3 linked regions of the Arabidopsis thaliana genome follow. The protein of the gene in region 2 interacts with the protein of the main gene of each other region in a pairwise test. Each region holds a gene or a part of one and is shown on either strand. Other genes may lie near its edges.

Region 1 (11,169 bases), 3.9 Mb from region 2:
CTGATATCTCTGGATTCCCAAGTTGGAGAGTAGTTAGAGTGAGAGGGTAATAACTAGCACGGACAAGAACATATTGACTTTTCAAACTCAAATGATAATCTCTCTTTTCTTTTGTATATCTTTAGAGAGATTACACTTCTTGTCCTATATTATATATATCATATCATATCATATTACATCATCTTGTGTGGTCCATCATCACATAACACATTAAAACTAGAGAAATGGTACAACAATCTTCCTTCTTTCTCTTCTCCTATCTCTTACATCAAATTTCCTGCTTTTTATTTTTTACACCTCTGCATCTTTTTGGTTATTAAGGGTCTCTCTATTTTATCAGTTTTTTTCTTTTCTTACTTCACTTCCTGTAACAAAAACAACAACCACAACAAACAAACTATTAACCTAACAAGATTGTTATTTTGTGTTTCACCATCCATTAACTCTTTTTACCTGTTTATATCCCAACACGACAGGTTGGTCCACCCCTACCGGGTAACATTCCAATCGCCGGTAACCTATTGAGAAGATTCATGAACGCAATGTTAGATACCATCAACTTGATACCAGAAATTAAAGTGTGTAGAAGGAGTAAAACATAAAGTGTGGTTGAATCTAGGGACCTTGGCATTTGGTAGTTGAAAGAGTTGAAGGAGTCGGAGAGTGTAGAAGGAGTAGAATTATCATCATTATCAGAAGAAGGCGACCACAGATCCGATCCGTTATTGTCAGCAGAATCAGCAAACAGAAGCAAATGATGAGCGGGCGATGCAAACGGACTATCTGGCAAGCTATCCTCCAACCTAAAACACCCCAAAAAGCTTCAGCTTAAAATACACAAAACAGTTTCCTTGCAGAGAACTCTTGTATATAAACCTACCTCTCTGGTAGATTCATTGTATCATCATCAGATCCTTCTTTAGAACTTCCTTTCCCTTTCTCTCCTCCATCATACTCTCTCTTGATCACGGACAATGGGCGTGGAGATATAAGTGATTGGCTGAAAGGATTCGGAGAGTGAATGTTGGTAGGGGAATTGAGTTGGAAATGCTTCTTGACGTCAAGAAGCTGCAGATTCATCAGCCTTCTGCTCTGAAGTTCAAGAATCTCTTCTTCAAACTTACTCCTCCACAACACATCTTGAGTGTTGTTATAAAACCCTCTCCCTCCTGCACAACAAGCAAATCAGTATGGCTGCAAGTAAAGGGTTCTTCAGTAAAACCAAAAGAGACAAGTGCTTTAGTGTTTGTTTACCTAGAACGTCCCTAGGGCTAGAATCAAGGCCTGTTGGGGACAGTTCTCGCTCTGTTGTTTGGTTAGTTCTGCACAACAAACCGCAGTAAACACAAGGGATTCAAGGAACAATCAGGCCAAAGTATAAGAGTTACTAATACTAGCAATATAAGTACCTGTATTTGTCAGGGACTTTGCCTTTCTCCTTGTAAGGCTTGACAAGAACTCTGGAATCACACACAAAGTGAGGATTCCCTTTGGCGAGAATGCTCTTAACAGTCTCAGGGTACACAAATGTCACAAAACCAAACATTCTCTTTTGCTGATATGGTATCCTCACATCTTGAACTGGTCCAAAAGTACTATAACCACCATAACAACATCTTATGTCACATACAAGAACATACATTCAGACCAAATAAAAGTTCAATGTGTTTTGTTGGAAATTACCTGAAGTAATTGGACACATCTTCCTCCCTGAACCTACTGTCGGCAGGGAATGTCAGATAGATCTGTCTTGAAGCTGGACAAGCCATAGCAGAAAGATCAATCCTTTCAGGTCTCCATCTTCCAAGCTTCTGCAATTCATCTCCTATCATCAAAGCAGCAGCAGCTCTGCACAGAAATTTACACAACTTAACAAAAATAAATAAATATAAAAAACACATTTTGACAGTAAATGAACAAAAGAAGCAGTTGGGAAAAAGGTCAAACCTTTGAACATCGTTTTGCTGCAAGTTAACACCTTTAGTTGAAAAAGAAGGGAGAGAAGAGCGAGTCATGAAGTGGTGAGCAAGTCTTGGGGGTACCGAGTTAGACCTAAGAAGCTCGATTCTGCTTGGGGAGCCAACCAAATCAGCTCCTCCATCACTGTGGACGAATCTGCAGCTAGCTCCGTTTTTGCAGAAGCCTCTAGCGAAGTAAGAACAGGGCACACCTCCAAACCCTAAATCAGAATCACCACCATACCCTAAACCGTCCAAAACGCAGCTACCGCTTCTCGCATGCACAGAGCCCAAAAAATCAGTACTTCTGGAGTTCATATCATCCATGAGCTCGAAATCGTTGGTTAAATCCCTAGAAGATCTTCCTCCATTAGCGTAAAAGGGCAAAGAAGCTGGATTGAGTGAAGAGCCACGGTTGTTCTTAGGGCTAATCAACTCATCTTGATGACTCCACGGAGACCTTGAACAGTTCATGAGACCTAACTCTTTCTTGGCTTTCACTATAACAGAGTGAACAAGAGTCTCTGGACCAAAAGCTAGCCTTATCATCTCTTTTTCACCGTGATCTTGAAGAAGGAGAAGACCCATGATCTTTGATGCGTTTTCAGGGTCTAAGCTTTGGATTCTAGAGAGCACAATCCTAGTAGCTTCATATCCATCCATAGCTTTTCTCTCTCTCTTTAGAATTAGAATAGAGTAGAGAGAAGAAGAAGGAAAGAGTAGTGTTTTTGTAGAGAGTGTTTGTTGTCTTGTGTACAGAGAGGTTGTTGTCGTTAAGAGGGTCTCTCTGGTTTCTAGTGTTGGATTTTAGTTTAATGTTATTTTTTTGGGTTACTTAACTACAAATTTATTAAACCTATCTACTACTACTAACCTTAACTATAATTTTTCATCTCTGGTTCCTGCGAAACACCAGTAAATACCAAAAATTTTAAAAGAGAAATAGTATAAAAAGTTACTACTCTATTCATTTTTTTGTTTTCTTCTCGCTCGCGTGCTTACAAGAAGAAAAAAAATTAACACTTTAAGAAAAAGAGTTGGAGAAAAAAAGGAAAAGGTAAATACTTTTTTAGGAAAAAAAAAAAAGTTTTTGCATGCCGAGAATTTTTCCATGGAAAACAAAACAAAAAAAAAATCGTAACTTTCTATGTTTGAGTAAAACTTTACTAGACCGAAAAGAGAAATAAAAATTTACTTTACCTGAAAAAGTCAAAATGATCAATAGATGAATCTCTGTGGAGAACATTATTAGCAGAAGAGTGAATTTTGCTGCAGGTGAGAGACTGACGGTTACTGCTCCTTTGGGAATAGTAGATGAAGAAAGATGTCATCATATTATTAGATTCTTCTTATCATCAAATTTAAGAGAGAAAGATAAAGAGAAGAAGTACGTACACTTAATTGTATGTTTCAGTGAATCTGAGTAAACTGAGTTATGAGAGAAGAAGATATCTTCCGGATTTGGGATCTCTGTGTTGTTGTTGTTGTGTGGATCAGGAGAAAACTCTCTGGTCTTTCTTTCACGAGTGGAAGAAGAAAGAGAGAGATAGAAAAAACACAGAGAGATTGTGTAATAAACTGTTTTTAAAAAGCAAATTAAAAACAAAAGATGGTTGCATTGCACGTTCTCTGACACAACCCCATTTTTTTTTTTTTGTTCATTCGGACAGGAAAGATACACGCGCCTTCCGTTGGGATGTGTTGGTCACGCGCCGGTGATTGATATGCAGACCAGCTGTATCGCTGGGGTCTCCACTCTCTCCTACTGTCTCTTTCTCATTTTTCATCATTTTATTTTGGTAGGGACACATTTTTAAGTATAGCTAAGCTTTTGGTTTGATTACAAAATTAAATAAACTACCTGGTTTTCTTATTCTTCAACTTGCTTATTTTAAAATGAAACGGCAGAATTTTATTGTCATTTAAAGATAAATTTGAGTAATTAGGGAAACATAAAAAGCATGTCATATCCAAATTGTCAATTTGCTCAGCTTAATCTCTGCTTTTATTGTCCTTTTATTTGTTTGGTGAGAGACACTTGAATTTTATTTCATTCAATCATTATTGCATGCTTCGATCACATGAAATTAAATAAAAACCATTTCATTATTAAAATCTGTCTTAATTAATCTCATGGGCATATGATTTATTGTCAAATGTGTTGACCAATTCCATAGGTTTCTTATTTGAAGCAACATAACTAATTATCTAGAAAAAATCTTACACACGTAGTTTCACATATTCAAAGTATTGAGTATGTTTTTTTTTGCTTTAATAAAATATTCATGAGAGGGTAGGATTAAAGATGAAAAGACATGATTGTTCTAAATTAATGTAGGGTTAAAAAAGAATTATTATTTTTTGAAAATTTAAAATTTCGAAAGGACCTTTTTATAAAAGAAGAATGACCCACAAAGGAAAGCAATGATTATAATAGTTATTTTTTGGGTGTCAAAAGCAGTGGTCTAGTCTAGTCACAAGAGCCGAGGCACCTAACACTTCACTCTATGATTATGTGTTTTCAATATTATAAAGTATATATACTCTTTGCTAAATAATTTACCCCAAAAATCTAACATTGCGGCCTTATCATTGACTCATCCAGAAATATTTGATTCGCATGTAAATTTTACATGGGGGAGAATGATTATTATGCGCAAATGTTTGAGGCGAATTGAAAAAAAAAAATAATGATTGGGGCAGTCTATTCCACACCAATGGAATTCATTTGCATTTGAAATTTATGATATACACATGCATGTATGATGCATACCTTAAGTCCTTATCTATTATTGGTTTGGGTATTCACCATACCCACATATAGAGAATCTATAAATGGACCCCCAAAGATCTTCTAAGCCCACAATTATCATCATATATACATACAACTACAAATCTACAATCATCCTCCTCTTCATTTCAAAATCAATTCCACATCAAGATGTTTTGGTACCCTTAAAATAGACATATGTAGAATAAGTTACCAATCTGTGTATATGTTAACTATATTGGAATCCGACCTCTATGCCCCTAATTAAACCCATATGTATATATATACACACAATACCACAGCCCGTAAACGCTTAACGTGAGAATGGTGGTGGTTGAGGAACAAAAGATTGAATAGGATCATGAAGTGTTTGGCCCTCCTCGCACTCCACTCTTGCCGCTTCACACATCATATTACTTGTTGCTAAGTTGCATCCATCTGTGTGATTACACGAGATCCAAAATTGTGTCAAGATTAGGTCTAGGTCACTTTTGTATAAAAATGATGGTGATGAATGGTTTACTATTAGTTTACGTTTTCATTATTCGAAAATGTGATTTTTACTAAGACGATAACCAAATAAATGAAACTAGTTCTTTAGCGTTTCGTATTGTTCAATAAAATTTCAGTAGCTCAAATTTCATTAGCTATTTACTAGTTCTTCCTCTTAATGCTAAATTTTTCATCAACGTATCAGATTGTTGACAACCAATTTCAACTAGTAAACCAAATAGTAGGAGAAATCACCTTCTTTGAACACAAAACCAGAACCGTTGCATTGTTTCTGAAACGAGAAACTACAAAGTTCAACTTCAATTTTCCCCTGCATCTCTACCAGAAGAGCCCGGAGTCTGATCAATTCAGTTTCCACCATTTCTTGGCTCTGAAGTTTTCTAAGGAATTGCTCATTCAGAGATTGCAATCTCATCACTTCATCTTCAAGGTATGCAGTGCGAGCCTTCTTCTTCTCCCTGTACTTCCTCACTGCCTCTCTATTACCACATAACCGTTTCTTGTTGCTACTGTCAGAATGATCATTCTCTTGCTGATCCTGCTGCAACATAAAAATATGTATCTATAACAATCCATTAAAATATCATCAGAAACATACCATATCTTAAGGGAAGAGATATTATTACAGAGATGATGAGATGAGTGTGAGCGTGGAAGCATGTGTGGGAGTGAGAAGCATCCTCTGGGCCTGGAGGGTTACAGCTATGAGTGTGACTACATCCTCTCGTTACTCGATCTTGATCTTTATCTTCTTCCTCATTCATCTTTATATATCTTTGATTCTGAGGTCCAAACTCAAGATCTCCAAAGAAAACACCTGTTCTGTTTGGGACATAGAATTATGGTGATATTATTAGGGTTTTTGATTAAAGTAAAGATGGTGTTGAAGAATATGTTCTTGATTAACATAGTGGATGAATAAAACAGTAGTCAACTCTTTATAATTTTTTGACATGGCCCAAGAAAGAAAAATCTTACAGAGAATCAAAGTTAGAAACTCGTTGGTTTCCTCTGCAATCCTTGCAACAACAAAACATCCAAGTACAAAGATTGATAGGCTTTTTGGTTTTGAGATTACCTTAAAATGTTTTTTTTTTTGTCTGTACCAAACTTTGAAATGGTTTTATTACTAGAAATTACGACGGAACAATAAGCAAAGCCATTTACCATATCCCCAGACCCCAATGAATAATATATTATAAGAAAGAGAATTGGTTCTTTAATGTCAATTGTCAAATTGTTTCGTATAGAAAAAGAAGAAGACTTTTCTCATGGATTTTAACTTATTGCACGTCTCTATCATTATTTAGTGTTCGCTGGCGGACACGTTTTGTAAACGTGTTTATCATCATCATCTTGCTTCCCGACGAGATTTGAGTTCAAGAAGCAAAAATGGCGAGTTTCATCAAGGCATGGGGTTTAGTGATCATCTCACTGTGTTACACTTTTTTCATTGCCAAATTGGTTCCAAAAGGAATCAAAAGGCTCATACTATTTTTCCCTGTCTTCCTCATTTTCTTCATAGTACCTTTCTTGATATATTCCTTACATTTACTCGGCATCACGGCTTTCTTCATCGCTTGGCTAGCAAATTTCAAGCTCTTATTATTTGCATTAGGGCGCGGTCCTCTCTCTTCAAACCATAAACCCCTATCTCTCCCTATTTTCTTAGCTGTCTCTTGCTTGCCCATCAAGATTCAGCTGAGCCCAAAACCTACAAAAACTCACTCCCATGAAGGATCCACAGAGGGTCCTTTGATTTATACCATAAAGGCAGTTTTTGTGGTTCTCATCATCAAAGCCTACGAATACAGTACCAAATTGCCTGAGAAAGTCGTGCTGACTCTCTACGCGATCCACATATATTTCGCCCTTGAGATCATCCTTGCCGCCACAGCTGCTGCGGTTCGAGCCATGTCGGATCTTGAGCTCGAGCCACAGTTCAACAAGCCGTACCTAGCGACATCACTTCAAGATTTCTGGGGGAGACGATGGAACCTGATGGTCACTGGAATCTTACGGCCAACCGTGTACGAACCGTCACTTCAACTGTTCTCGGTTTTGGGCCCGAACTATTCCCAGATTCTTGCAGCTTTCGGGACGTTTGTTGTCTCTGGGATAATGCACGAGCTCATCTTCTTCTACATGGGACGGTTGAGGCCAGACTGGAAGATGATGTGGTTCTTCCTCATAAATGGATTTTGCACGACCGTGGAGATCGCCATCAAGAAAACCATTAACGGTAGGTGGAGATTCCCGAAAGCAATCAGTCAGGTTTTGACACTCACTTTTGTGATGGTGACGGCATTGTGGCTGTTCTTGCCCGAATTTAATCGGTGCAACATAGTTGAGAAGGCTCTTGATGAGTACGCAGCCATAGGCGCATTTGCAGTCGAGGTCAGGAGGAAACTGACCGCATATCTTTTTTAACCCTGCCGTGTGACAAAGCTTGAGTGATCTCTATTTTAACTTATTTTTTTCTAACACTGTAAAACCGACATTTCTGCAACCCCATCATTTACATGGCACACGAATCAAGAAAATTGTGGAAGTTCATAATACTATACATAAAACCTTGCAAACATGATATGAAAGTAAAGATGAGGGGAAGAAACCCGCTCGAGTAGAGGCAATAACATGCAAAATGGATCAGCAAGATCCGCCTAAGTTACACATCTTAAGTCTATCTAAGGCAGTTAGAATTTGTCTACAACTCCTACAGCTAAAGCTTTTCCCACCAGAAATTAACGCACAGGGAGTTGCTTTCTTACTGATCATGGTGTTCATAAAAGTCCAAGCTTTTGGCGGAAGATCAGTTCCACTTCACCACGAATGCTCTCCACATCTGCAGCATAGTCTCTCTTGTATTCATCCGCCATTGATTCCTCCAGCTGTAGCTTCATTCTCTCTAATGCTTCTTCCAACCCGCAGGACTCTTTGAGAACCTGAGGCTCTATGGATTTAAGTTGAAGAAGAGTTTGGATTGCTGTAAGAGCCTGAAACATATTTTCCGAGTAGCATAAGTTAGAAAGAGATGTGTGCCAAGATTCATAGAGGAAGAAAAACGGTCATAGGCCCCTGTAATAGTTCTACCTTTTCTTGGAGATCAAGATCAAGCACCACAATCAAATCGACAACAGACTTTAGGAAAAGACGATCTTTGAAAATAGGAAGTTCATCTTTCTCTGTGTTCTGTAGTTGAGACTCAGCCAAATCACCGACTAAGAATACAGCTTTCCGTCTCAATTTCATATCCAAGCTCCCATTGTTCATTACATCCTGTAAATACGACGAAACATGGTTAGTTTTTTTCCAATCCAGAGAATGAATGAACAAAACCTGACATGATGTATTTCTGGTTTGCTCACCCGAAGCATAATGTATCCATGTGCTGCAAAAAACAAGTCCTGACCAGCTATATTATTTCGTATCAAGGCAGAAACAGCAAAAAGTGCTTTCACAGCTTCTTCAGTAGAGCTGGAGTTTACCATCTTTATTAGTGTTGTTAAAGCTCCAAGTTCAAGAACCTGTAACCAAATTCACAGAACAAGAAACATGATGTGTTTCAGACGGTTTATACTTCAACACACGGTTCTGCTCTACAAGTACAACGAAATCAAACCTGCTCTTGAACAAAAGGATTGTTTTGGCTAGCTTTCCCGAGCACCCACGCAGCTAGTTTCCTTACTTCTGTGTCATCATGATTAAGCTCTCCTGCTACAACTCTAAGCCCTCCTGATTTGCTCAAATCTACACAAGAAAAGAATGATGCCACAATTGATCAGACTCATGTGAAACTGTAACACAAACACATTTATATATACAAGATTCAATAGCAAGTTACAAGCTTCCAGTTACCATTTGCATTATCAATAGGTTCAACGAGGATCAAAAGTTCCTGCAAAGCACGGTGACGATCTTCAAGAGACAAGGATGAATTATTCAAGTCATCTATCGCTATTTGCATCAACTTCGCATTCGACGGCATTTTCAGCTTCTCCACCAGCTCCTATATAAGAGCACTTTCATGAACTTCCAGAGACAAAGCAATCAGAAATTAAAAACCAAAATCACAAAGTCCGTACCTTTAACTCTAATTGACGCTTCTGTAACTCATCCAAAGACATCTTCTCTGCATCTTTAGCTGCTTCCTTCAATGTCGCAGGATCCGAGTGACCTAACCGAAGATATCCAACATAGAATCAGATCTAAATGAAATTAGTGAGGAAGAAGGACACTGAGAAAGAAAATTTACCTATTGCCCAGTGTAACATCCCATCAAGTGAAGAGAATCCACCATCGATTTGATCTTGCTCTCCGATCACCACACCGGAATCTTCTACCAATTCGGCTTCATCTCTAACACTAGACCAGACCATTCCCCCGGAAGAGTTAACTTTCTCAGCGATCGAAAAACCCACCAATGAGATCACCACCAATAGAAACACATATCGGAAAAAGAAAATCGTCGGCATCTTTGTCTTCCCGGCGGTAGACTTAATCAGTAAATAAAGGTTTAAGCTTTTTCCCGTTTTGCGACTTTACCATTTATGTTTTCAGAATTTATATACGAAAGTAACTACTCCTTAACAACGTGTTCAGCCAATTATATTATTACACGTCATCTCATCCATCGTCACCTTCTATCGCGCTAAAACATTAAAGTGCCAGGTGGCAGAAGCGGGACCAATTGAATGATTAATCTTATTTACGTCAACTAAAATTAGGGTGTAAATTGAAACTATTATTATTTATCAGTACGAAATAGAATTTTTAAAAACTATAAGGGTGGATTTGAAATATTTAGGAAAAGGCATAATTAATTAGAAACACGACCCCTCCACTTCCTTGAGTCTAATCAAATGTGCCTTAATTTACAAAAATGACTTCTCACGACTCACGCCATTAAACTCCACGTACACCTTTCCCTTTCACTTTCATCTTCTTCTTCCCTCGATTCAATGGGTTATCTCTCCTGCAAAGCTGGATCCGCCGTCGCAATCGCCGTTTCATCTGCCGCATCAACCTCCGGATCCACCTCCAGCAAAGCTTCTGCTCCTCCCGAATCTCCCATTGAAGACCGTCCTAGACTTCGTCGTTTCCTCCATCGCGATCTCGAATCAGCCACAGGAGGTTTCGACATCAACAATCTCCTCGGACGTGGAAGCCATGGAAGCGTTTACAAAGCTGTCATCGGTTCACGTCACATCGCGGTCAAGAGACCTTCGAAATCTCGAGAAATCAGCCGTGAGTTCCACAACGAATTCGAGATTCTCTCCAGAATCCGTAGCCCTAGGTTTGTGAATCTCTTAGGTTTTAGCGCCGATAACTCCAAAGAACCACTTCTCGTTGTTGAATTCATGGGAAACGGAAGCTTATACGACGTGATTCACTCAGATACCGTTTTAAACTCCGGTGCGATTTCGAGCTGGAGTAAGAGAATCAAAATCGCTCTTCAGATTGCAAAAGCCGTACATCTTCTACATTCTCAAGAGACACCGATCATACACAGAGATATAAAATCAGCAAACGTATTGATGGATAAGAATCTAAACGCGAAGCTAGGCGATTTCGGATTAGCGATCAGATGCAATGTTGATGATCAAAAAGTGAAATCAACACCACCTGCAGGAACAATGGGTTACTTAGATCCAGATTACGTAACGGCTGATAGATTAAGCACGAAAACTGATGTGTTTAGCTTCGGGATCTTGTTGTTAGAGATAATCAGCGGAAGAAAAGCAATCGACGTTAGATATTCGCCGTCGTTTATAGTAGATTGGGCGATTCCGATGATAAAAAGAGGCAAAATCGGTGGGATTTATGATCCGAGAATCGGACCACCGATTGATGTAAGTGTGAGGAATCATTTGGGGTTAGTGGCGGCTAAGTGTGTGAGAACGTGTAGAGAGAAACGGCCGGGGATGG
Region 2 (10,576 bases):
TTCACTCTTATTACGAGATTACCCTTTTATTTATTTCATTGAACTTTCCTTCAAAATCGGACCAATGAATATTGTTACTTAGTCCATTATTTGCAACAACACGAAAACACATATTATATGTTTTTTTAATACTCAATTTGTAATTAATGAAATGATAGGTTCGTTAGGTATGGTAATCTCACGTAAACAAAGTCAATGCCAAACCCTAACTTAGCACTCAAAGCCAGATTGGTGTGAGCTTTGAGTGATTTCGACGTTCGTATTTTTCAATTATAGCATAAACATGATATTTAAAATTTGTAATAATATAAAAGCATGTCCTAACAAACTAAACAGTTTTTTACAAAGCACATTCATAACGCTTTTGACCATCAGGGTTGGAAAAACGTGATTTGTATTAGATTCAAAAATTGCCTATGAGATTAAATGTGACGACTTATTCTTATTTTATTTGGTTATTTTGTTAACTTCAAATTTTTTCAAAAAGGAGCCAAAGAGTAAAAGGTAAATCCAATTTAATTAGTGGTAGATCTCTACGACCCCATTTTGTAACAGTGTTTTTTACCGAGTGATTACGATTGTCTAAGTAGTTTAGAAAAAAATGGAATGGTCTAGAATAAAAGAAAACCCGTTTTGATTGAAACTAACCATATATTTGAAACATTTGCTCAAACACAATTATTTGATTATAGTTAATGAAACTTGTATATTTTGAGTTACGTCCTTAAGTGTTTCTGATTATATAAGATAAAGCCTTTGCTTATTACGACACAATAACACATGGTTAAACCATGATGGTTTGGATCTACCTTTAATAGCTACATATGAATTATACTATCAATATTTTACTAGCTTTACGATCTGAAAAGATAATTTACACTAAGTAGCGACGGCGTCTACCTCCCTCCCTCCCTAAACACCTCCCTCGGCGTCTCCCTCCCTGCGCAAAACTACAAAATTCCTAACTTGTGATCTAAACAAATCACAAAAAAACTTCAGACTCGGATGTGAATACAATTTTTTTGAAAAATGGAAGAGCATTGGTGTTTTATGTTTACGTTGACTTGTGATGCTAACCTGGCGGTTAGCTAGTTATGTCACCCCACATCTCCTTCACTTTCTTGCCTAACTTTTTAGATTCGCGATGGCTAATAATTGAATTTCTTATAAATAATTGTTTTTTTCTTTCTCTAATCAACTTCTTTGTTTTCTTATAAATAACAATTAAATTTTATACCCATTTAAAACTAATGGAATAAGACTAGCTAACTACAATGTTAGGAAGGATCTCTTATATGAAACTATGTATATGTAAGTGACAAAATCAAAGCATCTTGTTTTAAAAAGTTATATACTGATCTTAACAATATGAAACAAAATATATAATTAACACGGTGATATATACATGTAGACAAAACAAAAGTTGCAACTACCTAAACATATGATATGAAGCAACAATAATATGCTATCAAAGTAATAATTGCGCTATATTTGTATGAAATTCGTTTAGCAATGTTGTGGCGTTAAGAGTAAGAAAATTTCAAGTTATTATCGTAAAAGGAATTAAAATGGTTTATGGAAAGGACTAAAACGAGTTATAGTAGTTAGACAAAATCTTTTTGAGTGTTTAACCAAGAAAAAAATATCTTTCGAGTGATTTTTATTAGGTTTTTATCACCGACTTCTTCTCACGTTTTGACTTGATGAGAGAGAGGTTCGTTACTCGTTAGGTGGCATGGGCTTGTGACGGTCGAATAAAAATGACAATACTTGACTAATAACATTGGCCCAATATAGGACATTAGGCCCATTATTATTTCGCCTGTAAATAATTCCATTATAATGAGAGAGATACAGTTATCGTAGTGATCAGCCATGAACCACCTTATTAATAATATGATCTTACACTTTCATGGAAAATTAAAGCTTTTGTAAAAGTTTATGATTTAAGAGATTACAAACCATTAGCCGCTAGCTTGTTGAGGAGTGCGAGAGAATTGCTGGACAAGTACATAGACGTCGTGACTCTCTTCCGAATCATCCTGACCGTTGATGATGACCTCGTCGATGTCTTTTCAAACCCATCAAGACACGTGTCCTTGTCAGTGAGGGAAGAGCTAAGCCACGTAGCAAGATCACTCATCTGCTGCTGAAACTCGCTGGCTCTGAGTGTCCGGAGGACGGCCAAGGACTTGTGGAGACTATCAAGAGAGTCTTGGAGAAGTTCGCGACAATCCGACAAAGCGATTCGGTCTCGTTTCCCAATCGTTGAAAGCCTCGTTTTGAGAAGGTGTCTAAGGACGTCTTTGTTGTCGGTTATGGCAACGGAAACGCCGGCACGTGCCCATTTGCTGGGACTGTTCTTGGCGACTGATGCAAACGGCAATAGCGTTTTAGCGCAGAGGTCTTGGTAGCGTGTAACACTACACGCGTTTTGAACGTAGCTTTCGCGTTTGGACGGTAATGATGAAGTTGGGTTGAGAGAAAGGAGAAAGAAGACGAGTGCAAACGTGATAGAAGAACTCATGGGAGTTTTCATGTTTTGTGAGAATTGTAATCTTTATACAAAATTAATTGGTGTCTCGACGAGAGATCGTATATATAGACACGTATAAATTTAATTTAGGGGTTTTGGTAGGTTTTAAAGTGAAAGTATAAAAAGTATGGCGGTCCATTTGTAGGTGTCGGAGTTATGATCACAACATTTCGTTCTAACACTTCGTTCGATTTTATTAATTTGTTGTTTTGCCGATAACAATTCGTTGGTTTAGTTATCTCGTATTATGATTACTATGTTGAATAGAAATATCATTATTTTTTTTACCATTTTCAACAACTACTCCAACCTAATAAAACTAGTGATCGATCTATTTATTTATTTATTGTTTTGCTAATCATTGAGCTTATTCTTACTCTACCAGGCGGACTTAACAAAGATTGAAAACGTAATTTGTCGCATCTCTTATGCAACGAAGTGATAAGAAGAGTGAGTATAAATCCTTCTATGATAATATTTATTTCATCAATGGCTACGAATATATGGTATATATGAAACTGTTTATAAATGGAAGATGAGCTAGTTGTGTACGGAATGAGGTTTTGGTACCTTACATCGAAAAAGCTACATTATGTAGTTTTGTCATCGCCATGAGGCCCATGACCATATCTCTTTTCGAATCCATTTTTTTAGTTACCTTTTTCTTTATTCACGACATGGCTACTTTCTTTAGGACGTGCGTGAGTTCTTATATACAACATAATCACGTAATGCGTGAGCATTTATGAATACAGCTAAAGAATTGAATCAAACTCACATGAATTGAGAGAACAAAGTATATGTGGTTATGACGATTCACATGATTCCTATGAAACAATGCTCTTCAACACAAGAATCTAAGGATTGCACACCAGCGAGAAGATGACTGAGACACTAATAAGAGAAAGCTAGAACTCTGAACTTAAAATCATGAATGGAGATGATAAAAAAGGACTTCTGAGCAAATGCTGTGGACACTCATGAATGGGGGTAAATCTTGACAGATTGTGTAGTGGTTTTCATTGGAAAATGAACCATACTTCTCGGACCCCGTATCAACAATATAGGTTCTATTTTATTGGTTTGAAAAACTAGAGTGACCATCACGGCTTCAATCTTCTCGCGTCAACTCTATTTCAAACTTCCCATCAGACTCTGTGAAACAATCGGGGACAAGGAAATCTAGATAGATGACGAAACCTAAGCTTATGTAGGAAATAATTATATTTCAATCTAACAATAAAAGTGACATGGATTTGAAAATGATACAAAAGATGGGTCTCTACGACAAGACAAGGCTTCTAAGATTTGAGAATGACACAAAAGATGGGTCTCTACGACAAGACAATGCTTCTAAGAAAAGTAGAAAAGTGAGGTCTACAGTCTAACATACAACATAATCAATATTAGCCATGGATGTAAGTGAATTCTGTAATTCTTGTTTTGAAATGGACGAATCTCATCCAAAAATGTATGTAAAGAGCTTCTTATTGATTCAACTTGGCCGTGAAAAGAGAAAACAAACAGAGAAGCATAAAAAGGATCCACCTTTCCCGATCAAACAAAACGAGTAAGGGAGAAGTAATCCAATTTCAGACTTACACTCATACAGATTTTTTCCGAAGCATCTCCTCTGATGGAAGCTCCAAAGTAGCTCCCGCGTGTTCCTGACTTGCTTTCATCTCTACGACACAGAAAAATCAAATTTCCAAAGATATGAGCTTTCACTCACGCATTTCAACAAACAGATGGTGCGCAAGATAAAAAGAGTCAGAACGAACCATATCCGCCGCGTTCGTTGAGTTTAGCCTGGACGATCATGGTGGAAATGAACTGCGTCGCTTCACGCGCCTCTTCTAGAAGGCGAGTGATGTCGGAGTTAGAAGCCACGAGGCGATTCTCTTCGAATTTCTTACGGATCTCGGACGCCGAAGCTTTTAGCATCTCGGTATCTCCGGCGAATGATTTCTTTGTTGCCCTGAGCAGTGCTCTGTACGCGATCAACGCTTCTCCGGTCACCATTTCTGCTCTTTCCCCTTTCAACCTCCGCCGTCGTCTCCCTCCCAAAATTGGATTTAGAAATTTGGTCGCCGACAACCTTCTGATCAACTTCGAGTTTCATTGGGCCTTTACAACTTTCATGAATAAGCCCAATTTTGGCCCATTAATGGATTATTTCGGATCATACCCGTTCAAGCTGGGTTAACCCGAATCTTTCGTATCCTTGAGACAATTTACATGTGTATACTTATTATGGTTTCTCGATGAGTTTCAATCAGCGAATGCTTTGTCTGATTGTTCACTTCCTCCCTCGAAGTGTCTTCACCATTTCAAAGAGGTACGATTTTGTGTTTATAATCGTAGATTCCTTTCGCTGTTTTGATGTTATCGATCTGTACGAAACCCTAGATCATTGAGTCTGACCAATTCTGAAATTCGTCTCTTCGTTTGCCATTTATGTTTGAGAAATTCTGATACATGTTGTCATGTTGATCTCTTTATGTTTGGTTGACCAATTCTGAAATCTGAAATTCGTCTCTTCGTTTGCCATTTATGTTTGAGAAATTCTGATACACGTTGATCTCTTTATGTTTGGTTAATTCCTGCCAGTTTAGATAGAGATGGATCATGTATACAAAGGTCAACTGCAAGCGTATGCCCTGCAACATAATCTGGAGCTACCAGTGTATGCGAATGAGAGAGAAGGGCCTCCTCATGCTCCTAGATTTAGATGTAATGTTACATTCTGTGGACAGACTTTCCAGAGCTCTGAATTCTTTCCGACACTAAAATCGGCTGAACATGCCGCTGCAAAAATTGCAGTTGCTTCTTTGACGCCACAAAGTCCAGAGGCTAGTTCCTCACACTCTTTTTGGACTACAAGTTATGTGCTTTTTCAACATTTGTTTAAATTTTGATTTTCAAATTTTTGTTGTTTCAGGGAATTGATGTTGCCTACAAGAACCTGTTACAAGAAATTGCACAGAAAGAGAGTTCTCTGTTACCATTTTATGCAACTGCTACATCTGGTCCATCGCATGCGCCTACTTTTACTTCAACTGTTGAGTTTGCTGGTAAAGTTTTCAGTGGAGAAGAGGCGAAAACCAAAAAGTTGGCTGAAATGAGCGCTGCTAAAGTTGCATTCATGAGTATCAAAAATGGGAACTCGAACCAGACCGGATCGCCTACTTTGCCTAGTGAGAGACAAGAAGATGTAAATTCAAATGTGAAGAGCAGTCCACAAGAGATCCATTCTCAACCTTCTTCCAAGGTGGTGATGACCCCTGATACCCCATCAAAGGGGATTAAAGTGAATGAAGATGGTTAGTTTTCTTTGAATACTACACTACATGAATAATCCGTTGGTTTGTTTGTTAAAGGAAAAACTCTCTTTCTTTGTTATAACTTGTGGTCCAATCAGAGGGACGTATTTTCCTGAGATAGGTAGGAAACAGCTATGAAATAAGAAAGCCAACCTTACTTTAACTGCATGAAATGGATTCCAATTTCAGTTTAATGCTAAATGGTCAAGATGGTTAATTCATTCAAAACTCATGCTCTACAGTCTTGATTCTGTGCAGAATTTCCAGATCTTCATGATGCACCAGCCAGTAATGCTAAGGAGATTAACGTTGCTTTGAATGAGCCTGAGAATCCTACAAACGATGGTACTCTTAGTGCACTAACTACTGATGGTATGAAGATGAACATTGCTTCTTCTTCTTTGCCTATACCTCACAATCCTACAAACGTTATTACTCTTAATGCACCAGCTGCCAATGGTATCAAGAGGAACATTGCTGCTTGTTCTTCGTGGATGCCTCAGAATCCCACAAACGATGGTAGTGAAACATCATCATGTGTAGTAGATGAGAGTGAGAAAAAGAAGCTCATAATGGGAACTGGCCACCTGAGTATACCAACTGGCCAACATGTAGTTTGTCGCCCATGGAACCCCGAGATAACTCTTCCTCAAGACGCGGAGATGCTCTTTAGAGATGATAAATTTATAGCCTATCGTCTTGTGAAGCCATAACGACATCATCATCTTTGATGCATAATAAGTGTAGAGATAGAATGTTAAGGTAAGCTATATCTCATCTGTTTGTAGAAATAGAATGCTTCTCGTCTCTGGTTTTCTTAAGCAATATGCTATGTAGTATGTATACTGTGTAATGACTAATTTTTGTTTTAAAGCATTGTGTTTATTAGAAACAAGGCGAGATTAAATGTTAATAGATTATGGAAAAGCTTAACAGAATAAATATTAAATAGTAAGATGTAGACATAAGCAAAACCAGCTAGATAAGTAACCGCTTCAAGTAGAATATTTGTAACGATAACCGAATATAATTAGAGACACTAGAGTAGAGGTAAGCAAAATATTTGGGAACAGCAATTCCATCACGATATTAGATATTCGAGACCGGTGCGGAGATGTGCTGATGATTTTCGGAAGACATTCAGGTTGTACATAGCTAAGTCCATATTGGTACCCACAAGTGCTGATTTTCCGAACAGATCCTGGTTGTGAACGAAGCAGGGTGTGCCAGCAGTGCCAAGGCACAGAGTCCTTATTTTCTCTCTTAAATTTTAGGGTCCTAATTTATAGGAATTTTTATTTTTCTAGATAAAATTACAATGGTTGAATAGAACTACAAGTGTATTACGTTTACAAGAGACAGTAAACACTGCCACGTAAACTAAAATTTTTTGGATTTAAAGGTTTAAAGGGGATATTTTTTTTTTTAGCACAGAACCCAAAATAATATTGAGTCGGGCCTGGAACGAAGTGAGACTAAATTTTCGACGAAAGAAGTTATAACACAAAAGTCTGGAGAGGCAACAAAGGTAGTCTGTCTCTGGGTAATATTTGAACAACCTTTTCTCACTCTCACATAAGAAAAGATTCCCTAGCTTAGAAACAGCCATGGGCGTGAACTACCTTCTCCAAAACAATGAAAAGCAATTGTTTTCTTTAAAAGTGGAAAATTAACTATTAAATTTGAAAAAACAACCCAAACATTTTTTAATACCGTAAAAATACTAGAATTAAACTTTACCAAAAATTAATATAATTCTTTAAAAAAAAACTAAAGTCATATTTAATTAAATGTTTTATATATAAAATATATAACATTATATATGACATATAAATTACTATCATATATAGTCCGTAATGGCCATTAAGAACTGCTAAATCAGGGGTTTGAAATTCTAATCCACCAACAAGTCAAACATAAAGGAACTTTTGCACTTTTTTTTTTTCGACAGCAGACTAAATTTTATTAAACTATTAAAAGCCTAGTAACAAAGTAACAACAATTCCTGCTTAATGTTAAGGAACGGGTAAAATTCTGGTAATAATTACCTTCACACTAACGTAATTACAGGAATTGATATCTCAAAGTTGGGCCCATGAAGTGTTTACGTTAAAGCCCATAATATAAAGGCACATTTATTTCGGGTTCTAATTGGATTAACCTGAATAGATCGGATCCTCGGAAATCAGGCGAAGAAGACGACTAAATTTCTCCTGGGATTAGAGAGAGAGGAAGGAAAAATGGCGTCGGGGTGGGGGATAACGGGAAACAAAGGGAGGTGTTACGATTTCTGGATGGATTTCAGCGAATGTATGTCTCATTGCAGAGAGCCCAAAGACTGTACTCTTCTTCGTGAAGACTACCTCGAGTGTCTTCACCATTCCAAAGAGGTTAGGTTTCGCCTTTTTCCTTTTTTTAGGGTTTCTTTCAATTATCGTTCCTGTGTTGTTGTATGTGTCATCAATTCACGCTTTTGATTGCTTGATCTGTTTCATTGATGATTCGTCCTGTTATCGGTCGTCTGTACGATCATCGATAGTTTCTGGATCACGAGTTTAAGTCATTCCTAGATCCGTTGGAACAATCTCTCAGTCTGGTCGTTTCGTTTGCTACATGTATAAAAACATAAGCTTTCTTTTTGCTTGAAACTAGAAAAGTTGAATTGCAATCTCCCAAGTATATATGTGGATGCTTTCACTAGGTTGCTTGTAGGGATTAGGTTAATATAATACCACTTCCCTTATCTGAGATTTAGTTTCATGGCCATGAATTGTTTAGCTGTTAAGTTTGGAAGTTGAGACTTACTCTTTATCTCTTGTCTCTGTTTGATCTTTCAAATGGAACGATATTGTCTCTCTTCTCTATGTGTTGAAATCATAAATTTGAATGAAACTGAATGTATAGGCTTGCGTGTGAACTTTTGAGGGAATCAAAAGCTTTATTATTGTTGTCTCCAATATTGTTTCTTTCTTCTTTGCTTAGTATAAGCCTATGGTAGATGAACTGATAAGGAGCGCATATTTGTGTATTTTGATCTAGTTCCAACGAAGAAACAGGATATACAAAGAAGAACAACGTAAACTAAGAGCTGCATCAAGGAAAGGCGAAGAAACCGGGGATGGGACTCATACTCATCACTAGTCGAGATTTTCCTCCTATCTCCAAAGTTTGCATCTTTCGAAGAATAAACAAAAGTTTCTTGAAGATTTCTGTATCTTGTGTGCCAAACTTCATTTGATCGTATTCAGTTTGCTTTTGCAATGGATTTTTTTGTCTTTGCTTTGTCTATTACCTTTGACCGAGTTGTAATATGCCTTTGGCTACTCGTCAAACACAGACTCCTTCTTTAATGGTAATAATTACTCCTACAGTTATATTAAAATCATTATTCGAGAGACATTAAAAACAGAACAGTGGGTGGAATAATGAAAAGGTCCTCTATAAATAGTTGTCATTGACTTTCACTTAGTCTTCTCTGCAACTCCTATATGTAATGTGTCTAGAGAGAACCAGCTTTTTCATTGGGTAATATCAAAATGGGGACGAGATCTCTAGAAATAAATGTGACATCAGCAAAAGGGCTTAAGAAAGTGTCGAAGATGGATGTTTTTGTGGCCGTGAAGTTATCCGGTGATCCAAAATGCTCTGACCACCGTGAGCAGCGGACACAAGCGGCAAGAGACGGTGGAACCAGCCCCAAATGGAGCAATGATGTCATGAAGTTCATCCTCGACCAAAACTTAGCAGAGGCTAACCGCCTTGTGATCACTTTCAAGATCAAGTGCGAGCAACGTGGAGGAGTAGATAAAGACATCGGCGAGGTTCATGTTCAGGTGAAAGAACTTCTGGATCATCTTGGAAACGATAAGACCGGTCAAAGATACGTCACATATCAAATCGGGAAATCCAAAGCCGATATTAGTTTCACTTATTCGTTCACAGGTCCGGTGGAGGTCCCGACCGGTGGCGGCTGCTCACGGTACGCAGCTCAAGCGCCGGTGCGTCCTGTATCGACCTACCGGCCCGTTTTGAACGGACCCATGTTGAGTCAGTTGAACGGACCCGTGTTGAGCCAGTTGAACGGTCCCGTGTTGAGTCAGTTGAATGGTCCCGTGTTGAGTCAGTTGCAGGGACCCGTGTTGAGCCAGTTGAACGGACCCGTGTTGAGTCAGTTGCTACCAAGTGTTGGATCGTTTAGTTACAACCACGTTCCTTGTCAGCCACCGATTTATCCACCACTTGCTCAGCCTGAGATTCTTCCACCGGTATGCTTCCCCGGATTGTATCCGCCGAGTAACATGCCGGGAAGTCCACCCACAATGTATCAATCTATATTTCCTGGCTTATCATGTCCACCAGAAGGTTATTCAACGGTGGCTCCGCCGCTGACACAACCGGGACTATATCCACCGATGAGTCCTTACAGATATTAATTGATTGTCAACGTCTGGAAGCCTAGTCGTCGGTTTGGAGATTTGTTGATTTTATTTAACTAATGATGTCATCAATTCCCCCAACTTGTGTGTGTGTTCTTTTTCTTCGAACTCAACATAAAAATTGTTGTGTGTTTTTTTCTCTCTTTCTAACAAAATCACACCCTAAATTGTTACGTTCTTTACTTAGACGTTTTTGGTTTGTAAAATGCTCTATCTGTATCATGTTTGTACTGTCTTGTACTCTCCAAAAATGGTTCACCATTGATGAATGATGCACCTGG
Region 3 (11,308 bases), on a different chromosome or scaffold from region 2:
AAAATCAAACGAAAATTCTTCAGAAACCTTATTCAATTGGAGTGGATTTTGGTATCCAAATTTCTAATTTTAGATGCAAATTCCACAAAAACGCCCAGATCAAGAATAACGATAACAATAACAATTAGCGTAGAATGAAGATCCGTGACTTACCTACAACAGAGATGCGTTTGGCGAGAGTGAGGTGGAGATTCTCCGGACGAATTAGGTTTTCCTCCGAGCCTTACCGTGAAAACCGAAAAGGGACCGACGAAGACAGGGAAGCGGAAGATATTTGGACACTTTGCTGACGTGGAATATCATTATCTTGTATCTGTTTCGTTCATACTTTTATTTCATTCTTCATCAGCTGTGTTAAACTGTTAATGATCTTCTAAGTTCTAACATGTGATTATTAATATTTAAAATAGAAATGGCAGATTTAACAGAGTGCGATTCACTATTCACCCCCACAACAATAGTCATTCTATAAAGTTTTGATTGCTTAATCGATATGTTTATCTAACACCAACAGTTTGGTCCATTCCGGAGAAAGAGTTAGTATTGAACAAACTAAGTTAATTCTCTGCTTTAAAAACTCAAAACAGTAAGCAGAACAAATCGAGAAGATAAGACTGCAAGAGAAAATCCTCAACTTTCCACTAGGTAGTGTACTAAAACGCACGTTGCCGGGATGACGGATTCTCTTCAGGAAGATTGAGTATTTGCTGAATCTGGTAATGAGCCTGCAATGGTAATTTAACATTAATACTTATCCGATGACACTTTCATATATCCGTCTGATGCAGGGTTCCTACGCAATAGTGATTTTCTAGTCCAATTCAACCTCATAAGACAAATGATTGACTACTATCACAAAGCAAGATAAGAACTTGAACTTACCAGTTTGATGCGCCCTTTGATCTGCGTAATAACACCAGTATACTCTTCTAGTTGTCTGTTAAAAACAAAAAAAACCACATTTATATTGCATCAACATTCAGTCACTATACTGCATTCCACCGGAGAACTCATTCATCATATACAATGATACAACCATATTTTCCTTGTACATGGAGCAAGAAAACTAGAAAAGCAAAGATTTCTCTTACTTTTGAGTTCTTTCCTCCCTTTGTGCTATATAGTCAAGAGCTTCTTGCCGTGTGAACTCCACATAAAAGCCGAGGCCTACATCCATGAATATGTGCCGAGTATCTGGCCTGAACTCAAACAAACACCCAAGTCAAGTGAAACGAAATCAGAAGCAAACCTGGTAGAAAGCATCTCCTATTTTAATCCCCATTTATTAAACGTTTTCTGCTCAATAATACATAACTAGCTTCTAACATACAGAACACAGTAAAAGCACACTTCTTAATTGCATTAAGCTGTGTATGGAGACAGTGTATTTCATTGTATGCAGACAATGCATGACCTTTCATAGCTAAATGACTTGACTAAAATTAAACGAAAGAACCAAAGCTATAAGTAACGTACACTTCAGCTTGCATGTAAACTTCTGAACCAAGGTTGACCCTTGTTTTGAGACTATTTACACCATTCTTCTCCAGAGTTTCTAGGTTTTTCCGCAAGTCAGAGCTGGAGTGGGAGTAACCGTCAAGGAAACAAGAATATTTCAACCGAATTAGATTTCACTAGAACAGCAAAGTATTGTCAATAACTACACCAAGAAGAGTTCCTCTCGATTTAGAAACACAAAACTAAGTCAAAAACTGACTGGTAAATGAACCCGTCATCTTTGATAGGGTTAAGACATGGGAGAAACTAACAAAACACTTAGGATCAGCTTAACAAGATGATGCACATCACGAGAAGCTAGAGTCTTCCCTATACAAAAGGATACAGTGTTTTTTGTTCTTCAAAGATCTTGTCCCTGCAAAACCAACAAATGCAGAGACCACAATGAATCGAAACCTCAAACAAAAAGTGAATAGCATGCAAAGAAAACAAACTAAACTAATCCTACATACACTTTAATATCATACTCACAATTTTAATTTTGATCTGAAAAGGAAGTAAATATAAATACCGTGAAGCAGTTGCATGTACAAGCTTCTGTTTCAAACCTTTGTCGATAATCTCCTCCAACAATTGCAAGTCTTTTTGACGTCCCTCCTCCATTACTGCAATGCGAACATAAACATATCAAGCTTAAGGCTCTAACCATCCCCTTGTTTATTTGATAAACTTAGTCCAGAATAAGTTTCTAGAGCCTTGAAATGTTCGTTTCAGAATCTAGAGTCACCTAACCATCAATATCTAAATACAAGCTCGGAGAGCGTCGAAACTATACAGAAATTGCATCAAACTAATACGTAGAAGCATTTCATCGAACAGGTGGTGAACATCCCCAAGAGAGAACACAAACCACGTAACTACACTTTAAATATGAGAATCAAATTGGTTTCCAAACGAAACCCTATCAAAAATACATTCAAATACAGAGAATCCAACTCGATAAACGAGAAGGAATCTGAAAATCACAAAATTAGAGGTACAGATAACAGCAAAGGTCCAAGAGTATTTGACTCACGAGTCACGAGCAAAGAGATGAAATAGGTCCAGACACGTCACGACCGAACGACGGTGATTCTTTTGGTGACAGTGATGTTGAACGACGGTGGTTGTGACGGCGAGTGGCGACGCCGCGACGGTGAGGGAGACGAAGAATTATTTGGTGGTTTTACAATTTGACCGCTCGAGCACAGATTATTTAAACCATGCGAACCGGTTTGTTCTTACTTTTGGTTTTAATTTCAAGTCCTTTGTAATATAATTACCTTGCATAAAGGCCCACCTACTTTTTAATTTTACTATTTTACGCCCAAGATTTTCAAGACTCAATCAAACTGGCTAAAAAGAAACAAGAGCAGAACTATGAACGAACTTGGGATGCTATATAATCTTCAAACAATGTAAACAGAGAAACCATATATAACAAAAACCTTAAAGATGCATCAAGTTTCAAAGTGAAACAAAAAGTGCTCAATAAAACCCCATTTGATGATATACAACTTCTTCTTCAGCTAATACGTTTCCATGTCCATTCACCGAGTTTGATCCGCACAACGCACCATTACTCAGCATCCACAACCGTAACCGTTTCCATGATTGGCTGAGTTTCACCTCTAGAAGCTTCCATACTATAATAAACTCGGCAGCTAAAATAGAACACTGCACTCATCATCGAATCTATAAGTGTCACAAAGGAATACATCAACACCAAAAGAGGTCCTTCCCATAACCTCGAAGAGCCATCTCCATAACTAACTTTCTTCACTCTGTGATCAAACAATCCTTCCACAAACGCCAATCCTAAAGTTGATCCAAGGAACATCAACAAACCAACCTGAATCTGCCCTTTGATCAAATCACTAGCTCTCATCAATGCTCCTAACCCTGAAACATCTTCCAAAACCGAGATCACAATCGCAGTGTTGCAGATTATAATCGCGTTAGCGAAAACTACAGAGAAGGCTAAACCAACTAGCATAGCTCCATAAACATTGAAATCTGGAGAGAAGCCGAGAACAGAGAAGGAACTGCAGATTGCTACAAGAAGAACGCAAAAGAAAGTGAAGCAACCAACAATCAGAATGCAAATCCAAACGTAAGTGAACACAACTCTCCTCCATATCTTCTGCAATATAACCAAGAACTTGCTTATATCAACTACTTCCCTCGAGTAAGAACAATCCACTGAGTAAACCACAGCTGCTTTAGACAACAGAGACACAGTGATAAACACAGGGAAACACATTGCAGACGAAACAGCAGTTTCAGCGAATTTCTGACAAGAATGTTTGACAAAAGGCTGCAAAGGAAGACCACTTGATTTCGCCACTAAAAGAAGCTTCACTGTGAGTTTATTCACTAATGATTGATCAACTAAAAAGTTTGGTAAGAGCAAAGCAGAGACAGGACAGATCAAAACAGCAGTAGTTAACATTAAAGCACCAAGATTGTACCGGAGAATTCGAACTGTTTCTCTTAAGATCTCTAACGCATTTGAGGAGTGAAATTGTTTGTGACTGTATGATTTTAGCTCCGGTTTCCGTAAAACCTGATTCGTTTCCGTCTCCATGTTTCCGAGAGTGAAGTGTGTTTTAGCTGAGTTCGAGATTACATACCATAAAGGTTGATTTCACAAGCAGCGGAGATAGAAATCGAAGCAAAGAGAAGATCTTTCAGATAACCCAGGAATCAAATTGAAAAAAAAAGACGAATCTTGGAACGGATCTTGTCTACGTTCCAACAATAATTTTGATTAGAGAAAACAAAAAATGTAAGATTTCCAATTTTGTCGGTGGCACAAGTGAACGTGCTTTTGTCGGAGGTAATCTTCTTCTACTCCATCGCGAACTTGAAGCTAAACCGCTAATTTAACTGAAACCTTAAAACACTAAACCATAAACCCGGTTTGAAAAAATTGATCAATTTGGTTAGGCCCAATAATAGCTTAATGGGCTTCTTTAGAGGAATAAAAAGAAGAATATTTCTATGGAAAAAAAAAAAAAAAAAAAGAGAGAATCTTTCCGGTGAATGGGAAATGGCAAGAAGAAGGATACGAGTACGATGAAGTTGAGTTAGAGCGGGAGAGAGAGACATACCGTTGACCACTAAAGACGAGAGCTTTAGAGAGAGACGCAACAATGGAGCTGAATATTTCCGAGAGTCGAAGCAGATCAATTCGTTGCATTGTGAAACTTGGTTTGTCTTTTGATCCCTATTAAAATACTTGCTGGATCGATTCTTAGATCGCATTTTAGTTGTTCTGTCTTATGGGTTTGATTCTGATTTGACTATTGAATACCGAAGATGAGGAAAGACTTTAAAGATCTGTCTTTTATTCATTTCCCATCAATTTTACCTGTCTAGACTTTGTAACAGCAGAATGTCTAAATGATTTGATAGGAGGTGCGGCAATTACTTGCAAAAACGAGCTGGAGAAGATTCACGATGAAAATCTGGAGGTCGTGGCGTGTCAGTTACGTCAAGCTATGTTGGAGGGTTCAGCTCCAAGCAAGGTTATTGGCATGGATTGGAGCAAGAGACCTGGAAGCTCTGAGATTTCTTGTGATGTGGATGACATAGGGGATCAAAAGTCTTCTGAGTTTAGTAAATTTGTTGTGGTTCATGGCGCTGGTTAGTTGGAGATTGATTCTTATCTGCTTAAATCTTATAATGAAGGATCAAAATACATTTTTGATTTAGCTCTTACAGATCATTGACCTGCTTGTGTTAGTTGAGCTGTTATTTAGTTTTTGGGTTTCTTATGTGTTGTTCTGATTTTTGTCATTAGGTTCCTTTGGGCACTTTCAGGCCAGTAGATCTGGGGTTCACAAAGGAGGACTTGAGAAACCTATTGTCAAAGCTGGTTTCGTTGCTACTCGTATATCTGTGAGACTGTTAGCTAAATCTGATGCTCTTACGTAAGATAGTCTTGAGCTGTTCTGATAGTCTACAACTTCTTTTTGCAGGTGACAAATCTTAATCTTGAAATTGTACGAGCACTAGCCCGAGGTATCTCTTAAGCTTATTCTCTTTTCCTACTCTGGCTAAGAGGAAAAGATGAATTTTGAAGCTAAACATTATGATCTCTTGCAGAGGGCATTCCTACGATAGGCATGTCTCCATTTTCATGTGGTTGGTCAACCTCCAAAAGAGATGTAAGAGCTAACTGAACTTCTTAACATATTTCCTGATCTGAAGCATGTGGGTTTAGATTTCAATGAGACTGCTTTTTGCATTAGGTGGCTTCTGCAGATCTAGCAACCGTAGCTAAAACCATAGACTCAGGATTTGTCCCTGTAAGTTTTGATCCCACCAGTGAAATTAGGTAGATGTTTACCAAAGTCTCTTGACTGTAATTTGGACAGTAATTTTTGTCATGGCCAGGTTCTCCATGGAGATGCAGTGCTGGACAATATACTGGTAATATGCTCTCCAGAGATACCAAATAGCTATCTAGATTCTTGTCCGTTTAGAATTTGAACAGTTGAAAATCTTGTCCTGAACAGGGCTGCACCATATTGAGTGGTGATGTTATCATCCGTCATCTTGCAGATCATTTGAAGCCAGAATATGTTGTCTTTCTCGTATCCTATTCATAGTATAAACCGGAAATTTAATTTGTGTTCTCTCTCCCTCTTTCCTATATATTCTTTGTTATCTGAGTAACTCTTTACAAAGACAGATGTACTAGGTGTCTACGATCGACCACCTTCACCTTCAGAGCCCGACGCTGTGCTCTTGAAAGAGATCGGTTAGTTTCAAACTTTACTGTTTGTTTTTTTTATATCTTTTCCAGACTTGGCCTGATACTAACAGTTCATGCAGCTGTTGGAGAAGATGGAAGCTGGAAGGTTGTGAATCCACTGTTGGAGCACACAGACAAGAAAGGTAAACGAAAGAACCAATGTTGTAAAACTATGCAATACAATAAGTCTGAGGGATTTGTTAAAAGTTCAAACCTCTCTGATTTTTGGAATCAAACAGTTGACTACTCTGTTGCGGCGCACGATACAACCGGTGGAATGGAAACGAAGATATCAGAAGCTGCTATGATTGCAAAACTTGGAGTCGATGTCTACATTGTGAAGGTAGATTATAGACAACTTTTGCCTTTAACCAACTAAATATCTTAGATAAAGATGGAGCTTTTAACCGCCATCATGCTCTTTTTTTCAATCTCCTCAAACAGGCTGCGACAACTCATTCACAGAGAGCACTAAACGGTGATTTGAGAGATAGTGTTCCTGAAGATTGGCTTGGTACTATCATCAGATTCTCAAAGTAGAATAATCTCCTGACAAATACACTAATTCCAGTTCCTCAACAAAGGAAAGCATTGACCTTTTCTTGCTATTACTGTTTTACCAGACTTTGTGCAAGGAATACAAAATCGTGTAATGTCAAAACCAGTTAAAATGTCGAATACTATCGCAGCCTGTGTAACTCTATGTTTCCACAAGTATTCAATCACATATCTTACACTGTTATTGTTAAATAAAATGTATATGTCACTCTTGAATCGTGCAAATAGCAATGAATATCATGTAAAGAGTTGCTTAAAACAAGCTTCATGAACAAACATATCCAGTGAACAAACAAAAAGTGGTTTTAAGAATAACATCTCATAAGAAACTTTGAATGTTTCAACACAAACTTTTCCAACAATCCAAAACCAATAGATATGGTTGTCTTGCAACAAGAAACACACACAAAGGGTCTAAATTAGGAAAAAGAAAAACATCTTTTGGTTCTTATAACATTGACGTCCGTTGTCAAACTGGTAATAATATATCGAATGATACTTGTTTACTTGCCACCACCAACTTCCTTGACGGCACAGATCTGCTCCTCTCCCATGGAAGACATGACAGACACCACAATATCCTTTCCCTCATCGAATCCAAGCCTCATCTGCATTAACAAAACACAACAACTGTTTTCAATATCACAATTCGAGAGATGAATACAAAGTCAAGTCATTTGTGTGCGAGTATGAAAAGACAAGAAAATAACCTGGGCGGTGAGACCATCATCGGTGGGAAGCTTGAGATCATCCTTGGTGCCACCACTGTCAGTGAGAAGGCTCACCTATAATGTAAACAAGTACAAAAGTTATGGCAAGAATAGATAAATAAAGCTGGAGTGATGAGGAAAGTGAGTATAAAGAAAAACATACGAAGCCATCCTCAGTGATATCAATCAACTGGTAATCAACACGGTTCACATGTGGAACCTGAGAAAAAAAGAGAAAGGAACAATATTTGAGTCAGATCACACAATCATATCAAATACTGTGAAAATGAATCTACATAGTTTGTGTAGTAACTTACATCACAATTGTGGGAAGATGGAACAATATCTTCAAGCTTCTTAGCAGTGAAGATATCAATAGCAACAAAGTGACATTTGGCGTGACCGTGCTTGCCAGTTTTGGAAGTCGAAACCTCAACAACCTAATCAAAACCAAAATATCAAAATCAAATCTATGTTCTCCATAAACGTTTAAATCAAATCAATCAATAGACTACTTAGATTCAAAATCACAAAAGGCGTCGTCTGATATTGCTTGATTTCTATCCATTTTTCATTTTCATTTCCCAAAATTCCACGAATCTAGAGAGGTACCACCATCAAAATAACAGGATAAGATTCATCATATTCATCTAAGTAGCGATCTATAAGAAAAATTCAAACTAAACAGAACCAGGTCAAATCCGAGGATAAAAACAAAATCAAGGAGCTACTATACAGAGACGAGATCTAGAATCAGGAAAAAGAGATCGAGAACGATGTTTGATGATGAAATAGAAATCAGACCTTGCAGGGACGGTTTTTGATGACGATGTGACCACCTTTACGGATGTTACCGGCTGATTGAGGATAGGTCTTGGAAGCTCCGGATTCGCTGGCCTCAAAGTGGTGCTCGTCGTCAGACATGTTTTCACAGAAATTTGAGAGAAGAAAGGTTTTCGGAGAAGATGAGATTGGGAGAAGGGAAAAAAAACCTAAGAGAGAGAAGTGAGCAAAAGCGATGTCGATTTTTTTTATATAGGAGGGGAAGAGGAAGGTGGAGGAAACCTTTCTAGGGTTACTGTATTATTATCCTTAGGAATGTTGTGGTGGGTAAAAACAATTCAGCCCAGCCCAAACTCAAAACAGGCCTCTTCATAAAAAAAAAAGGATTCAAAAAAACTGTATTTTATATAGATATTTTAAATTGTATTTATTTCTGTATTTGACATATATATTATATTCACTGTCATATGTATTTAAATTGAATCATGTATTTTGTATTTTGTATAAAAAACTTTATTTGTTACCCTTAATTGATTTTAATTCTTTAATTTAATCAAAGTTTCTAACAAATTTATAAATCCAAAATTCACTCAAACATTAATAATTTAAAAGATTATACAAAACAGAATTTCATCAAAGATTCTAATTTAAAACAGAAATACAAAAGTAGTGAAAAAATCTAAACAACTTCTAACATGGGTCTAAACTCTTTCCGAACATCAAACTTTAAGCGTTTATTAGAGTTAAATACCGTAGTAGCTGCTTGAGTAGATTGTGTTTCACTTTGTGTTGCTTCTCCTTAATTGTTTGCCTTCTCATTCATTGACATTTACTCATTCTCAGCATCCAAAGCTGCCAAAGTTTCTCTAGTTTGATAATTTATCCTATTTCTCAGCTGTTGGATTATAATCTCTCAACGATTTAGATTTTCCCGATTTTATTTTTTTCTCTCTCTTGCATCTCTCGCGTGCATTCCATGCGGCCCCACTTTAGCTTGTGACATCTAATTCCTCATATTACAGACTACATAACTAAAAAAATAGAGTTTTTTTTTACTCTAAAGGCGAGATTTAATTTTCAAAAAAAAAAATTCAGTTACATGAAATCTAGAATTATTTTTTGATTTAATAACTAAACTTAAAATGTAAAAAAAATAATTTAAAATTTTTAAGATATAGTAAAGAAATTATTTTTTTGTATTATTAATTAAAAATATTAACTTTTTCATTACAAAATAAATCACTACAATTAAATCCAATACACATGAGTATATGAATTTCATAAGAAACGAATATGAAAAACAATTGAGTATATAACTTTTTAGTCTAAATTTTGCACGATAAATTTTAAAATCAAAATTAAATTTAAATAAATATTTAATCAAATAAAAGTTAATATTTAATTGATAATATAACAAAAAAAAGCTAACTATTGATTAAAAATAGTAGTTTGATGCAACACTCAAGAGATCTTCAGTTTTGGTTATAGCTAGGGGTGTCAAAATAAGCTGATAGCTCATGAGCTGGCTCAACTCGGCTCAGTTATTCATGAGCGCGAGTTCTATTTTTAAGGATCATTTAATAAATGAGTTTAGTGATCGAGCTTTATTTAGCTCACGAGTTATATGAGCGAGCTTTAATGAACATGAGCTTGGTTTTTTTGAAGTAATATATACAAAAAGCTAACAATCAAAGTATATATATATTTTTCTATAAATAATAGAAATATATTTTAGAAAATATAGAAGTTACATAACAATTTCTGAAAATAAATATTAGTAATATACACAAAAAGTCAATAATCAAAACATAAATATTTATATAATCTATAAAAATAGAAATATATTTTTAAAAATATATAATTTACATAACAAGTTTAGAAAATATAAATTTTTTCATTTATTCGCATTAGCTCGCGAGCTAGCTCATTTAGCTCGTGATTTAGATGATCTGAGTCCGAGTTTGTATTTTGAAGCTCATATAATAAATGAGTTGAGCTGAGCTGGCTCATAAAAGATCCAAGTTCATCATGAGGTGAGCTGAGCTGAGCGAGCTGGCTCATTTTGACAATTATAGCCCTATAGACTAAGACTTGATGCTATTTTGGGCTTTTAGGAAGCTAAATCAAAGAGCATTTACGGCCCATTATGCTTGATGATATTTTGGGTATTTGGGAAACAAAACCAAATTCGAAAACCTCCACGAACATCTCCAGAAATGAGTTGCGTACTTGGAATGGGCTATATGGGACTGATCATTTACGGCCCATTATCTTTCATATATAAAAATTTGATATTTTTCGTAAGGGAAACGTCATTTATGATTTATGATTTATAAGCAAAACCAAATCATATAATGATATGATGCATTTCATTATGAGCAATTGAGCATGATTAATTGTCCTTAGAAAACTAAAAACTTGAATAAACTTAGACATATCAATTTTTTGCTAAATATCCTTTTTCATCTTGTTTGAAAGGCATGAACTTATTATCGACTAGAACTTTGTCATATGTTAATTTCCTCATAAAATGTTATTGTACATACAAATGTTTAATTTCTTTGTTAATTATTGAACTAACATGCTAAAAACCAAAAATTTGAACTGATTTGCAAAATAAATCTCAATAAAAAAAATCATAAATATGTGGGTACCTAAATCTCATTTTCCATCGCACATGATTGTTAATTACTTACTAGTTTATTAAATAATGTATAGTCGGATAAACTAGAGTGGTGTCGTGTAAAATAGTAGCCATGTATGAATGGAAGTTTATAGAAAGCAACATGACATCAGATAAAATACCATGTTTTCGTATAAAACTCAACATTTTATTTGTTCTAAATACTTACCAATATTATGATACAAGTTTATGATTGTCTGCTTAGAACTCACTTTATGATACAAGTTTATGATTGTCTGCTTAGAACTCACTTTATGATACAAGTTTTACTTCCTCCTGTTACAATGGTTTGTTATGTATACTTCTGATAATCAT

Evidence for each region.
Region 1: the proteins of AT3G62790 (region 2) and BZIP24 interact in a two-hybrid assay, tested with the Arabidopsis thaliana proteins (one large-scale study listed by BioGRID).
Region 3: the proteins of AT3G62790 (region 2) and AT1G26660 interact in a two-hybrid assay, tested with the Arabidopsis thaliana proteins (one large-scale study listed by BioGRID).

The regions. Positions count from the first base shown.
Region 1 is NC_003074.8:19,277,787-19,288,955, forward strand, and holds BZIP24 (basic leucine zipper 24), read right to left. Parts: upstream 6,407-11,169; 5' UTR 6,279-6,406; coding exon 6,220-6,278; exon of another isoform or gene 6,064-6,219; coding exon 5,868-6,063; intron 5,783-5,867; coding exon 5,476-5,782; intron 5,167-5,475; coding exon 5,042-5,166; 3' UTR 4,604-5,041; downstream 1-4,603. Other genes in the region: AT3G51950 (Zinc finger (CCCH-type) family protein / RNA recognition motif (RRM)-containing protein), read right to left, coding at 458-518, 624-803, 881-1,169, 1,255-1,322, 1,410-1,595, 1,684-1,848, 1,948-2,621; ASAT1 (acyl-CoA sterol acyl transferase 1), read left to right, coding at 6,634-7,671; AT3G51980 (ARM repeat superfamily protein), read right to left, coding at 8,025-8,237, 8,335-8,520, 8,610-8,768, 8,864-8,991, 9,100-9,250, 9,327-9,418, 9,497-9,716; AT3G51990 (Protein kinase superfamily protein), read left to right, coding at 10,203-11,169. UniProt on the Arabidopsis thaliana protein: Transcription factor involved in the regulation of salt stress response. Functions as a negative transcriptional regulator of salt stress acclimation response by regulating cation homeostasis.
Region 2 is NC_003074.8:23,221,745-23,232,320, reverse strand, and holds AT3G62790 (NADH-ubiquinone oxidoreductase-like protein), read left to right. Parts: upstream 1-7,994; 5' UTR 7,995-8,099; coding exon 8,100-8,249; intron 8,250-8,898; coding exon 8,899-9,000; 3' UTR 9,001-9,291; downstream 9,292-10,576. Other genes in the region: AT3G62820 (Plant invertase/pectin methylesterase inhibitor superfamily protein), read right to left, coding at 1,955-2,539; AT3G62810 (complex 1 family protein / LVR family protein), read right to left, coding at 4,141-4,220, 4,318-4,558; DRB4 (double-stranded-RNA-binding protein 4), read left to right, coding at 5,158-5,388, 5,478-5,859, 6,118-6,572; AT3G62780 (Calcium-dependent lipid-binding (CaLB domain) family protein), read left to right, coding at 9,396-10,292. UniProt on the Arabidopsis thaliana protein: Accessory subunit of the mitochondrial membrane respiratory chain NADH dehydrogenase (Complex I), that is believed not to be involved in catalysis. Complex I functions in the transfer of electrons from NADH to the respiratory chain.
Region 3 is NC_003070.9:9,203,111-9,214,418, reverse strand, and holds AT1G26660 (Prefoldin chaperone subunit family protein), read right to left. Parts: upstream 2,656-11,308; 5' UTR 2,534-2,655; intron 2,124-2,533; 5' UTR 2,122-2,123; coding exon 2,030-2,121; intron 1,915-2,029; coding exon 1,810-1,914; intron 1,579-1,809; coding exon 1,477-1,578; intron 1,200-1,476; coding exon 1,092-1,199; intron 938-1,091; coding exon 883-937; intron 726-882; coding exon 654-725; 3' UTR 544-653; downstream 1-543. Other genes in the region: AT1G26650 (Son of sevenless protein), read right to left, coding at 3,077-4,084; AT1G26640 (Amino acid kinase family protein), read left to right, coding at 4,653-4,710, 4,915-5,145, 5,303-5,400, 5,481-5,523, 5,608-5,669, 5,754-5,810, 5,899-5,934, 6,021-6,098 and 4 more; FBR12 (Eukaryotic translation initiation factor 5A-1 (eIF-5A 1) protein), read right to left, coding at 7,321-7,425, 7,528-7,602, 7,691-7,747, 7,845-7,967, 8,332-8,451.